Drosophila melanogaster: one gene and its partner. The protein of the gene in region 1 purifies or fractionates together with the protein of each later gene. This does not show direct contact. Each region holds a gene or a part of one and is shown in the gene's direction. Other genes may lie near its edges. The genes, in order: kz and CG12301.

Region 1 (6,859 bases):
TAGTTTTTTAAATTTGTATACAAGGTGGCAGTAAACACATTGTATTGCAGTTCTAAATAGTTACACAATTTTGTTCAGTTCCTAATAAATCTATGGTTGTAAATATATGCCAATAGTTTCTCTTTTGCGGATATATATCAGTGCCAAGGGAACAACCGAAGGTGAAAATAGATATGACAACAACCTTCCGCAGGACTGCAGGATAATGCGAGAGAGTGCATCAGGTTGAGACTTACTTTTTCACTTTCTCTGCTCTCTTATTTTTTTCCTACCGCCCGGCAAACGCAACAAAGAGGGACGGGTGGGGGTTACGGATCAAATCAGGGGTGCAAAGTGATTCCGGATTAAGCCGAAACTGTACCCGGAATCGGTGTGCCTCCCTGAATAGAGCTTCGGATGGGACACCTGTTCCAAGGGAATAAGGATATGTTGGGGGGTCTCTATATGCTCACCTTGGCCTTGACAGTGGCTGCCTCCTGCTTGAGATACTCTTCCCGCGCCGCTTCGTAGAGACTAACGAACTTGTCCCGCTGGCCCTTGTACTGAGCGAAGAGCTCGTCGTCTTTGTGGCCCTTCAATCTGTTCTCGATGTCCACCTTCTTGTCGTGCTCGCTGCGTATCTCGTCCGTTACCCAGGGCTTTTCGATGGGATACTGATTGATCAGGTTCTTTAGTGTCTTTATGCTGCTCTTGCCTTTCACCACCTGCTTGATTAGCTTGGGATTGGGCTTCATTATCCGGCCGCCATTCATGTTCATTGGTCCATAAGGTCCGACCGGTGGAATTCCCCGCGGCGGCATCCGTGGACCCATCATGTGCATGGGCGGTGGGACACCCATCATAGGACCTGGACCGGGTCCGTTGCGACGCATAAAGAGCGGTGGCGGCGGCGGTGGTGGTCCACCCATGGGGCCCATGGGTCCGGGACCGCGCATACCAGGCACCGGTGGCGGGAAAGGCATTTGCGGGTAAGGTCCTCCAGGGCCCATCGGTCCGGGTCCCCGTGGTCCGGGGCCCATCGGACCCATTGGCGGACCCATCATGAGGCGTGGAGGAGGACGGTTCGGAGGCGGCCCGCGTTGGAATCCATTAAAGCCACCGCGAATCTGATTGGGATTGTTGCCCGGATGGCGCTGCCAATCGCTTCCGTTCATCTGATTGTTGAAGGGCTGCTGCGACTGGTTCATATGATTGTTGTTCTGGTTGTTCATCTTGCCCTGCTGCTGGTTCGGACTGAGATGCTGCTGCTGGTTCGAATTGGGATGCTGCTGCTGGTTCGGACTGGGATGCTGCTGCTGGTTCGGACTGGGATGCTGCTGCTGGTTCGGACTGGGAGGCTGCTGCTGGTTCGGACTGGGATGCTGCTGCTGTTTGATGCCCTTCATAGACTTCTTCTTGGGACTGCCTACCTGATTGTGTTTGAATCCTGGTGGCGGGCTGCTGAAGTCAATGTACAGGGGATCGCTCGGCATTTGGCTGGAGGAAAACATCATCTGATTGTTACCGTTGACCCTGTTACCATTCCCATTTCCTCCTGGTCCGGAGTTAATTTTGCCCGAACGAAACGGTTTTCTATACGGAGCCGCAGCTGCGCGGGGATTATTGTTGCAATTATTATTGTTGCTCTGGTTGTTGCGGTGCTGCAGATTTGGCTGCTGCTGTTGCTGAAACTGTTGCTGCATTTGGTGCGGGTGCTGCTGCTGCGACTGCATGGTCCAGTTCTGATAGAATTGGTTCTTGGACACCATTGCAGGTAGCTGGATTTCACTGAAAACGGGGGTTCAGGACTCGAGCAGAGGAGCCAAGCCGAAACGACAGGCGGGGAGCAGATGGATCTAAAATGTTGCACGCCTATTTGTCACAAAAACTTATATTGAAAATATTACGATGAATCGATTGCGATAACGTTTCGATACCAGTGCTGTCGAAGGAGTGTGAACAACTATAACAATCAGTTTTTCCCACTAATGTATGTTTCCACTAACACAAATGTAACATCACAGCACATTTTAGAGTATCTCAACTTTTGTTATCGCCTGCGCTGTTATCGATAAGCGTACTTCGCACGTGTGATTTAAATCAATGTTTATATTATTGCCCAAAGTTAATTCTGTTACTTTATTTTATTAACTATATTGGTAAAGTAAAGTAATCATGGGCAAGAAGGTGCACAATGCCAAGGCGCGGCAGAATCCACAAACAATTGTGGACAACTCGGCCGTGAAGAAGGTAGGTCATCCGTCGGACCACACACTCGAATCCGCTTTCTTACCCTTTCCAAATCCAATACTCTACAGATTCAGATCGATGTGGATGCTGTGGCCGGCGGCAACCAGGTTGGCTACGATGAGGCCAACGCTCTGGTTCTGCCCTCCGAGAAGCGGGCCACCAAGATTAAGGTGGACAAAGTGCAACACGTGAAGATCCTTTCCAAGAAGCAGCGCAAGCACCTCCAGGCTATTGTGGACAAGAAGAAAAAGAAAGAGGGTGTAGGTTTTTATTCAGTGCTAATATAAAACTGATATTTAATTGAAATCTTTTCTAATTTAGCGCGCTCAGCTGTTGGGTGACCTTGCTGCCGTTCAAATTCCGGAGGAGGAGCTGCAGCAGTATACTTCCATTAGCCAAGTGCAAACCGTGGGATTAAAGCGTCTACCCACCCTTGACGAGTATCTAGCCAAGAAAAAGGAAAGACAGGCCCAAGTTTTAGCTGAAAAAAGCTCGGCGTCGGGTCTCCGCGTAAATGCTATAAAGGGCTCCAAGCGCAAGCTTCTCGTCGAAGAGGAGGAGGAACTACAGGCCAAGCGAAAGAATCCGAATGTAATTAGCGTGGAGGAAGATGACGAAGATTCTTCATCCTCTGATGAGGACGATGAGGAGGCACCAGCTCAATCCGCTCCTATTGCCATACCCACTCCAGTGTCTATAGCTCCACCGCAAATCGCTGTTAAACCACCCATTAAAAAGTTGAAGCCAGAGCCTAACCCACCTGCCTGTATCCACCAGACTGTCTATGTGCCCGTACATCGGACAACAGAAGTTCAGAATGCCCGTCTTCGACTGCCTATCCTCGCGGAGGAGCAGCAGGTGATGGAGACAATCAACGAAAACCCCATTGTGATCGTGGCTGGTGAGACTGGCTCTGGAAAGACTACCCAGCTACCGCAGTTCCTGTACGAAGCGGGGTATGCCCAGCACAAGATGATTGGAGTGACGGAGCCGCGGCGAGTGGCTGCTATTGCCATGTCCAAGCGGGTGGCCCACGAGATGAACCTGCCGGAGAGCGAGGTGTCATACCTCATTCGCTTCGAGGGAAACGTAACACCAGCGACGCGCATTAAATTCATGACAGATGGTGTGTTGCTTAAGGAGATCGAAACTGACTTTCTGCTTAGTAAGTACTCAGTGATCATCCTGGACGAGGCGCACGAGCGCAGTGTTTACACAGACATCCTAGTGGGTCTCCTGTCAAGGATCGTGCCCTTGCGTCACAAACGCGGGCAGCCGCTGAAGCTGATCATTATGTCTGCCACTTTGCGGGTATCCGATTTTACAGAGAATACTCGCTTGTTTAAGATTCCGCCACCGTTGCTTAAAGTGGAGGCTCGACAATTTCCGGTGACTATTCACTTCCAGAAGCGCACACCTGATGACTATGTGGCGGAGGCTTACCGCAAGACCTTAAAAATCCATAATAAGCTTCCGGAAGGCGGCATACTAATTTTTGTGACGGGACAGCAGGAGGTCAACCAACTGGTGCGCAAGCTGCGACGTACGTTTCCGTATCATCATGCGCCAACCAAGGATGTCGCTAAAAATGGAAAGGTATCGGAGGAAGAAAAAGAGGAAACAATAGATGATGCGGCATCGACTGTGGAGGATCCCAAGGAGCTGGAGTTTGATATGAAACGAGTTATACGTAATATTCGTAAATCTAAGAAAAAGTTCTTGGCGCAAATGGCGTTACCCAAAATCAATTTGGACGACTACAAGCTCCCTGGTGATGATACGGAAGCAGACATGCACGAGCAGCCGGATGAGGATGATGAGCAGGAGGGACTAGAAGAGGATAACGACGATGAACTAGGCTTGGAGGATGAGTCGGGAATGGGATCTGGTCAAAGGCAACCTCTGTGGGTCCTGCCGCTCTACTCGCTCCTCTCCTCGGAGAAGCAAAACCGCATCTTCCTGCCCGTTCCCGATGGCTGCCGGCTATGCGTGGTTAGCACCAATGTGGCAGAGACATCTCTCACCATCCCGCACATCAAGTATGTTGTTGACTGTGGTCGCCAGAAGACGCGTCTTTACGACAAACTGACGGGTGTGAGTGCTTTTGTGGTAACCTACACGTCTAAGGCCTCGGCGGATCAGCGTGCTGGACGAGCGGGTCGCATCAGCGCCGGACATTGCTATCGCCTCTACTCGAGTGCCGTGTACAACGACTGCTTCGAGGACTTTTCCCAGCCGGATATCCAGAAAAAGCCCGTCGAGGACCTTATGCTGCAAATGCGCTGCATGGGCATCGATCGCGTGGTGCACTTTCCCTTTCCCTCACCACCGGATCAAGTGCAGCTGCAAGCCGCCGAGCGGCGATTGATCGTGCTAGGTGCCCTGGAGGTCGCCAAGACAGAGAATACAGATTTGCCACCAGCCGTTACTCGTTTGGGTCACGTTATCTCCCGCTTTCCCGTGGCGCCGCGCTTTGGAAAAATGCTGGCTCTGTCCCACCAGCAGAACCTACTGCCCTACACCGTCTGCCTGGTGGCCGCACTTTCAGTCCAGGAGGTGCTAATCGAAACGGGCGTTCAAAGGGATGAGGATGTGGCACCTGGCGCGAATCGGTTCCACCGCAAACGCCAAAGTTGGGCGGCCAGCGGCAACTATCAGTTGCTTGGAGATCCTATGGTCTTATTACGTGCCGTAGGAGCTGCAGAGTACGCCGGATCGCAGGGCCGCTTGCCAGAGTTTTGTGCTGCGAATGGATTGCGCCAGAAAGCGATGAGCGAGGTGCGAAAATTGCGCGTCCAGCTGACTAACGAGATTAACCTGAATGTTAGTGACGTTGAGCTGGGTGTGGACCCCGAACTGAAGCCTCCCACCGATGCCCAGGCGCGTTTCCTTCGCCAAATTCTATTGGCCGGCATGGGCGACCGGGTGGCTAGAAAGGTACCTCTGGCAGACATCGCCGACAAGGAAGAGCGGCGGCGATTAAAGTACGCATACAATTGTGCTGACATGGAGGAACCAGCGTTCCTGCACGTCTCATCCGTGTTGCGTCAAAAAGCACCCGAATGGGTAATCTATCAGGAGGCATACGAGCTGCAAAACGGCGACTCTACCAAGATGTTCATCCGCGGCATCACCGCCATTGAGCCGGAGTGGCTTCTTCTATACGTTCCCCTGCTCTGCAACATACGTGAGGTGCGCGAGGATCCTGCTCCCAGATTTGATAAAACATCAGGGAAGATCTTCTGTCACGTGGATGCCACGTTTGGCAAGTCGGGGTGGGAGCTGCCTCTCGGGGAAGTGGAGATGCCGCTCAGCGAAAAGGCCTGCTGGTGAGTGTCTTTTTAAAGGTTGGGTATTTAGATAAGTGATCATACTAATCATGTGGTTTCAGTTACTTCGGAATGTTTCTGCTGGATGGAGAGGTTTGCTCGAGGTTAGCAGACTTCCGGAGCAAACTAAAGTCCACACCCGCCTCCGTAATCAAGAGCTGGTCCAGTATGAACAACAAGGTATTGCGCTTTAAGCGCGCTCTAATTACCAAGCAGATCCATAACCGCCAGGCTCTGATCGACCAATGGAATAGCGATCCTCACTGTAAGTTTACCCCAGTCTCTCGAACCCTAATTTCTTTGCTAATCTTCCGTTTCTTCTTAGTCCTTTTGGAGGAGTATCAGAACCTGCTCTACGACGTGGCGCTTAGCGAACTGACGCCTTTATGGCCACCGGTGGACAAGAAAGAGCCACAACGCCAGTAAAAAAGCTAGATAAAAGGGGGTTTTTTTGTATAACAAGTTTCATTTATTATTTATTTAATTGATATATATTTATATAATTTTTATGTATAATATAAATATGAAATTTGTTTTAAATGGAACTAAAAAAATGGAGTGGAGTGAGGGGGAATAAAAATGTTTTGTTAACAGCTAGTTTCGATAAATGTTTAATACAATCCATATATGTACATAGAAATAATCAATATTCATTGTATTTTGTTTTTTGTTGTCTGTTGGTTTTGTCTCTTGGTAATTAATCGTAAGAAAATTTGTCTGCTCTTGGTGAGAAATTAGCATTTACACTTGTGTTAATGAGAGATTTGGCTAATTGGGCATGTGGCTATATAGTGTGTATACGCCTTGGTATATGGTATATACTCATCGAACGAACGGAACGATCGGATTCGGATAGGCCGACAACTGTAGCTTTGTTCGCTTAGCTTCGCTCTTCCCTATATGTACATGTAAATCGCTAGTTGGGATTGGGATTAGGACTCCGTTTGCTGCAACTCCTCCCCCCCCAGGCAATTGGCTGGGACTTCTCAAATGTCATCCACCATACGTCTACAAATGTGTGTAGAAAAAATCAGTCTAATATATTAAGGCAACGTGAGAGCTTTACATGTCGTCATTCCACTTGATCCTCGTCCTCATCCTCATCCTCTTAATCATCTAGGAATTGTGTGTAATATCTTAGTTTTGTAACTTGAATCCTGTCCGAAGTTCGCTTATCGCTTAGGCTTATGTAATGCGGGATTTGTTTCATTTGTGTACTCTTTAACAATCGAATTTGGTATGTTTTGTGTCTGTGTGTGGGGTTCATTAACTTTAACTTTAAACTAATTTCCGTTAAATAT
Region 2 (5,179 bases), on another chromosome or scaffold:
ATGGGCACAGATGTTACTTCTAAAATAACTTCCCAATAATTGGTCGTAATACCGGGCTAAACACCACTCTTAGAGTACTTCTTCCAGTAACGCTTGACATCGTCGTGGCCATTCTTTTGCACCACCATTGTGCGAGTTCGCTCATTTTGCCACACCAGCATGTGGATCGACTGGGCGTAGTCTCGTAGCGTTACGAAATCTGTATGCGAGAGGAACTGATTGTACAGCACGCCTTCGGTGTAGGTGAAGCGATTTCGCTCTAATTCCCACAGCTTAATTTGATCAACGACTGTGGGTGGCAGGCAGGATTTAGAGTGAATGGCTGACTCGACCATGCGCATATTGGGATGCGCATACTGCTCCAGATACGAGACAATCTGCTCTGCCGTGATACCGCCACGCAACGCCTGGCGCACTGAATCGCGGGTTAGCACGCCCACGACGAGATTGGGAAAGCGGTAGAGAAGCTCCGTGAACAGACCTAACACGGCTACCTGGAGCGGAGAATCAGTGTAGGCATACACTCGGTAGTTCGTCTCCACCACAATGTAGCCACAGTCCTGAGTGGCCTCCTCATCCATGGCCACAGATGCAGTCGCAGCCGCCTCCTTGCTTGTCACATTCAGAGCCAAACGTGTGGGATAGAAGCGTCCCTCCTTACGCTTACGTTGGAAGACCAGTCCAAACTCCCGTAGATGCTGCAGGAATGTCAGCATCTGACTGTTCATGCCCTCGGAACTGTAATCCCTGCCCAGCGTTGAAAAACTGAGCTGGAACAACATGGACAAGCATTCCGGCAGGCTGATTCCTCTTTCTTCGCACGTGTCCAGGTACTGTAGCATAAAATGCCACACCTGAGCTCGCGTGTCCAGCAGCAGGAACTGAAAGCCCTGCCGGGTTATTGTGATACCGTCTCGTTCATCACGTTTCATGAGATTGGCGTGCAGCAGAATCCGAACGGCGTCCGGACTAATGGCCTCCGCATCGGTGCCATTGCGATTTCCGGTGCCGACCATGTAGTGCAACACGCAACGCCAGCGGGACATGGCGTATGTATCCAGAAAAGCAATGTCCCTGGGCTTCGAGTCCTTATCCAGCGTGTTGGTCATAGGCCAAGGTTTTCCGCCGCCCAGCAGCACCTGGCGTACGCTTTTCTTGAAGGTGGGCGAGAGCTCCCACGCAGAAAGGCCACCCGGAATGGCTGTGACCCGCCAGACGTTCAAAGCCGTCAGGCAGCTGGTTGCCTCGGCTTGCTCCCTGCAAAAGTAATGCATTGCAATGATATTGTTTATCCAATTGGATACAGTCATACTTGGCACAACGTTGGGCACCCCATGATGTGACCACCGCTTGTGGCACAGGCTGATCCACGAACAGTATCCTTATGATAAACTGCCGGGCTATCTCTGGAAGCTCCCGAAAAACGGCCAAACAAATGGGCGGATAGTTGTACAGCTTCTCCAGCGACTCTGGCGTTTGGCGGGTGCGCAGATACTCCTGAAAGTCCTTACACTCCAAGTTCGCAGGACCCTGCCCCAAGGGCGACAGGACGGCGTTTCCACTTCCCCCGGCAGCCGAATGCCGACCACTACCGGATTTCGTGTCGGCCATGACGATTCGAATGTCGAATTCGTAAACAAAATATTTTCATCCCGTTGTCATCGATAGCCGGTCTTTCGTGGGGGGACAATCGATAGTAATCATCAAGGGCGTTACGAAGGGGGTTTTCGCTGAGTTAAAAGTACATTTATTGTTAAAAAAAAATCAATTGATTTTTGATGCATAGATATATGTATTGAGTAGTAAATGTTATTATATTTAAGTTAATTTTTAAAAGAAGGCAGCTCCATTTTCCACACTCATGCTATCGAGCACAGGTAGAAATTGTGATGGGCCGCAAAACTTATCGATAACTCTTCAGCTGTTATTCTGCACACGTGCTGCGCGAAGTATTTTTGTATTGTTATTTGATTTTAAATATTTTCCTGACAAAAATGAGTGACGACGAGGAGCACTACGAACCAAAGGCACACAAGAAGCTGCTGCAGGCCATCGGCAGTCTGGGCAAGGTGCAGCACATCCAGAAGTCCACGCGCGACGAGCGGCAGTCGCTCCAGGATGAGTTCCAGCTGGTAAAAGGTGTTTCGTCAGCGGAAACGGATCATGCCCCCAGAGCCGTGGGTCTGAACGATCTGGTAGACATCCTACGCACCTCCACCAAGCACAGTCAGACGGGCAAGAAGCTCAAGAACATCCATGGCAGCAAAAAGGTGCTACAGAAGCCGCTGGAGAAACCAGCTGCGGATCGAATTAAACGGACCATTGGCTACGAGGGAGTTACCAAGAAACTCGGTCGTTGGGATGCTGTGGTGGCTCAACAGAGATCTGCGGAGACGCAGGTGAATGAATGCCAATGCTAACAGTGACATACACATATAATCTCCAAAACTTATTACAGATCTTCCCCCTACCATCTGAAACGGTTTACGTAAATACTGCGGCAAATGCCAGGCCTCTAAACACCCGGGTCAAGTCCAATCTTGCTCAAGAACTCGAGGCTAACAACCGTAAACTACGGGAACTGCGCAAAGCGCAAATTGGGGATACCACGGATGAAAAGGAGCTGGCCAAGCAAGAGCGGCTTTTACTACAAAAGAAGCTTACCAGGGACGAACTATTTGCCCGTCGCAAGGAGCTAGCTTACCTGAAGATGCGCGAGTCTCAAAAGTCAGCAAAGGCGCGCATGCAAAACAAAATCAAATCGAAAAAGTTCCACAAGCTGCAGAAGAGACAAAAAATGTTGGAGCAGATGAAGGAGTTCGAGTTGCTGCAGAAAACCGATCCAGAGGCGGCGCTGGAAAAGCTTAATGCCCTGGAAAAGAGTCGAGTGCAGGAGCGTGCCAGCCTGCGGCACAAGAACACCGGTACTTGGGCGAAGAATCTGCAGATACGGGCCAAGTACGACAAGGATGTGCGAAAGGATCTGGCCGAGCAGTTGGCTGTTAGCAGGGAACTGACCCAGAAAAAGCAGGTGTCAGACAGCGAAGATGAAACCACCAAGAAGAGAGTTTTACCCGAGGAGGAGGATAATGACTACGATCCCTTTAATCCTTGGACAAAAAGAAAAGCTACAGAGCAAACGGAAAATGGAAATGGTGAAAGTGAGGGTTCCAATTGGCGGCAATATTGGACAAAAAGGAATAAAAACGAAAAGTTACTGGAGGAGCATCGTAGGGATTTGGAAGGAGTCCAGGATAATGACGAGCAGGAGGAGAAAGAAACTATTCGGAAACCATTAATAGAAGTAAAACCTGCTAAGAAGAAACTTAAGAAATCGAAAGTTAAGATAGAAAATGGCTGGGAGGTGGAAGATATTTGCCCAACTGATCAGAAAGAAGCCAAGGCAAGCCCGAATTCAAAAGCCATTGATGACATTTTTGAGAAACACGAGGATCATATCAGAGCCAAACTAAATAAGAAAATGGAGAAATTGAGGGAACGGATAAACAAACTTAAAGAAGTTCCTGTCAAGGGAAAGAAGGCGAAAAAGAAGGACGTCTTGCAAAACCTAAAAAGTCTGGCTTTAAAAAAGACAAAGCAACAGATAGAGATTGACGAGCCCCTTAACTACGAGGAGGATAAAAATTCACAGAATAATATCCCTGCCCACGTTGAAGGTAACACAGAAAGCACGGAAATTCCAGCTGTGGATACCATAGATCCCAACAAGGTGACAACTTTGGTGTTTACCCAAAAGAAGGGCAACTCGGGAGGCTTTAACGATGCTCTAATAGACGATGAAGCAGCTGAATACGACGAGGAAGACGCCGCTGCTGAACGCCAGTTGACAATCAGTCAAGCCTTCGAGGATGATGACATTGTAGCTGATTTTAATCGGGACAAAAGCAAGGACTCCGAGCTTAAGAACACTGAGCTTCAGCTCGCCCTGCCTGGATGGGGTTCCTGGGCGGGTGCTGGCATTTCGAAGGAGGTAATGGAGCGACGAAACAAGCGGCTTCTTCTTAAGTTGGCTGCTCCGGAAAAGCGTCGTGACGAGAATAAGGATAATCTTTACCTCAACGAGTCCGCCAGCAAGCAGGCGCGCCAGCACATGGTCTCCAGCATACCATTTCCTTTCCGATCCCTGGCAGACTACGAAGCCAGTATCCGTGCTCCAGTTGGCCGGAACTTTGTGCCGGAGACGGCGTTCCGCATGCTGACCCGTCCGGCAGTAATCACGCGCAAGGGCCAGGTAATCGAGCCCATGACAGAGAGCGAGCTGGTCAAGCCGGACAGGCGTCTACGCCACATCGTGGACAGGAGGATAAAGCGCATACCGAAAGTGCCACCCAAGGCCAAGATAGCATAGAACTAGGAATATTTTTAAAAATAAATCTGAATAATATGAACGATTGCCAGTCTCCTAATTTACTTAGCTATAGAAAGGGAAATTATTATATAAATTGCATTATTTTCTCAAATTGTTTTTTATTTTTGTTAATAACTGAGACATTTCTATAAAAAAAACTTGAATTAAAAAGAGTTAAACAATGTTTTGTTTGATTTTCGTTAAAGGTATAACGACACAACAGTAGTTGACCAAGCAGAATATTCTGGATGAAGTATAAAATGTATAAAAACTACATTTTAAATTTGAATTCAATAGCTTTCATTACCGCACGCAATGTGACCAGATTAATGGTGTTAAGTGGAACGATAGCGATAGCGTTGCCTTAAATTATTTGGTATTTTGTAAAGTTTCTCACAGACGGCAAGCACATTTTGGAATTGATAATTTGCGCAGGTTATTGTGTTTATCCAACGATTCTCGCCGCGAAAATGTACGAACTGAAGACTCTGCTGCCGCAATTCGACATAAAGCTGCCCACCTGCATGTATCCTCTCAAGAACGTTAGCCTGGCGGCGGATTCCTTGGCCAGCGGCTCCTCCACATCCGCATCCACATCCGCGTCCACATCATCATGCGTAAGTTTATTTGCCGGGCCAGTGAGAAGTTGGTCGGGTCGCAAGGACAGTGAAAGTGCAACGTATGTCTACAACGCCACATCCATTCCATTCCCGCATGTGTGATCCTTGCCAGAAATTGGAGGCCAACAGGATCGACAGAACGGGACGAAACGCAGCCACATGTGCACTTGATTTGGACTCTTTAGGCCGA

What was found.
Region 2: the proteins of kz (region 1) and CG12301 purify together in Drosophila melanogaster (affinity purification with mass spectrometry, with the first as the bait; one large-scale study listed by BioGRID). This does not show direct contact.

The regions. Positions count from the first base shown.
Region 1 is NC_004354.4:2,237,198-2,244,056, reverse strand, and holds kz (kurz), read left to right. Parts: upstream 1-2,021; 5' UTR 2,022-2,154; coding exon 2,155-2,229; intron 2,230-2,297; coding exon 2,298-2,489; intron 2,490-2,550; coding exon 2,551-5,558; intron 5,559-5,620; coding exon 5,621-5,823; intron 5,824-5,883; coding exon 5,884-5,984; 3' UTR 5,985-6,199; downstream 6,200-6,859. Other genes in the region: fs(1)K10 (female sterile (1) K10), read right to left, coding at 453-1,748.
Region 2 is NT_037436.4:15,578,896-15,584,074, forward strand, and holds CG12301 (uncharacterized protein), read left to right. Parts: upstream 1-1,904; 5' UTR 1,905-1,994; coding exon 1,995-2,399; intron 2,400-2,458; coding exon 2,459-4,369; 3' UTR 4,370-4,478; downstream 4,479-5,179. Other genes in the region: mrn (marionette), read right to left, coding at 57-1,257, 1,313-1,611; AIMP2 (aaRS-interacting multifunctional protein 2), read left to right, coding at 4,840-4,986, 5,102-5,179.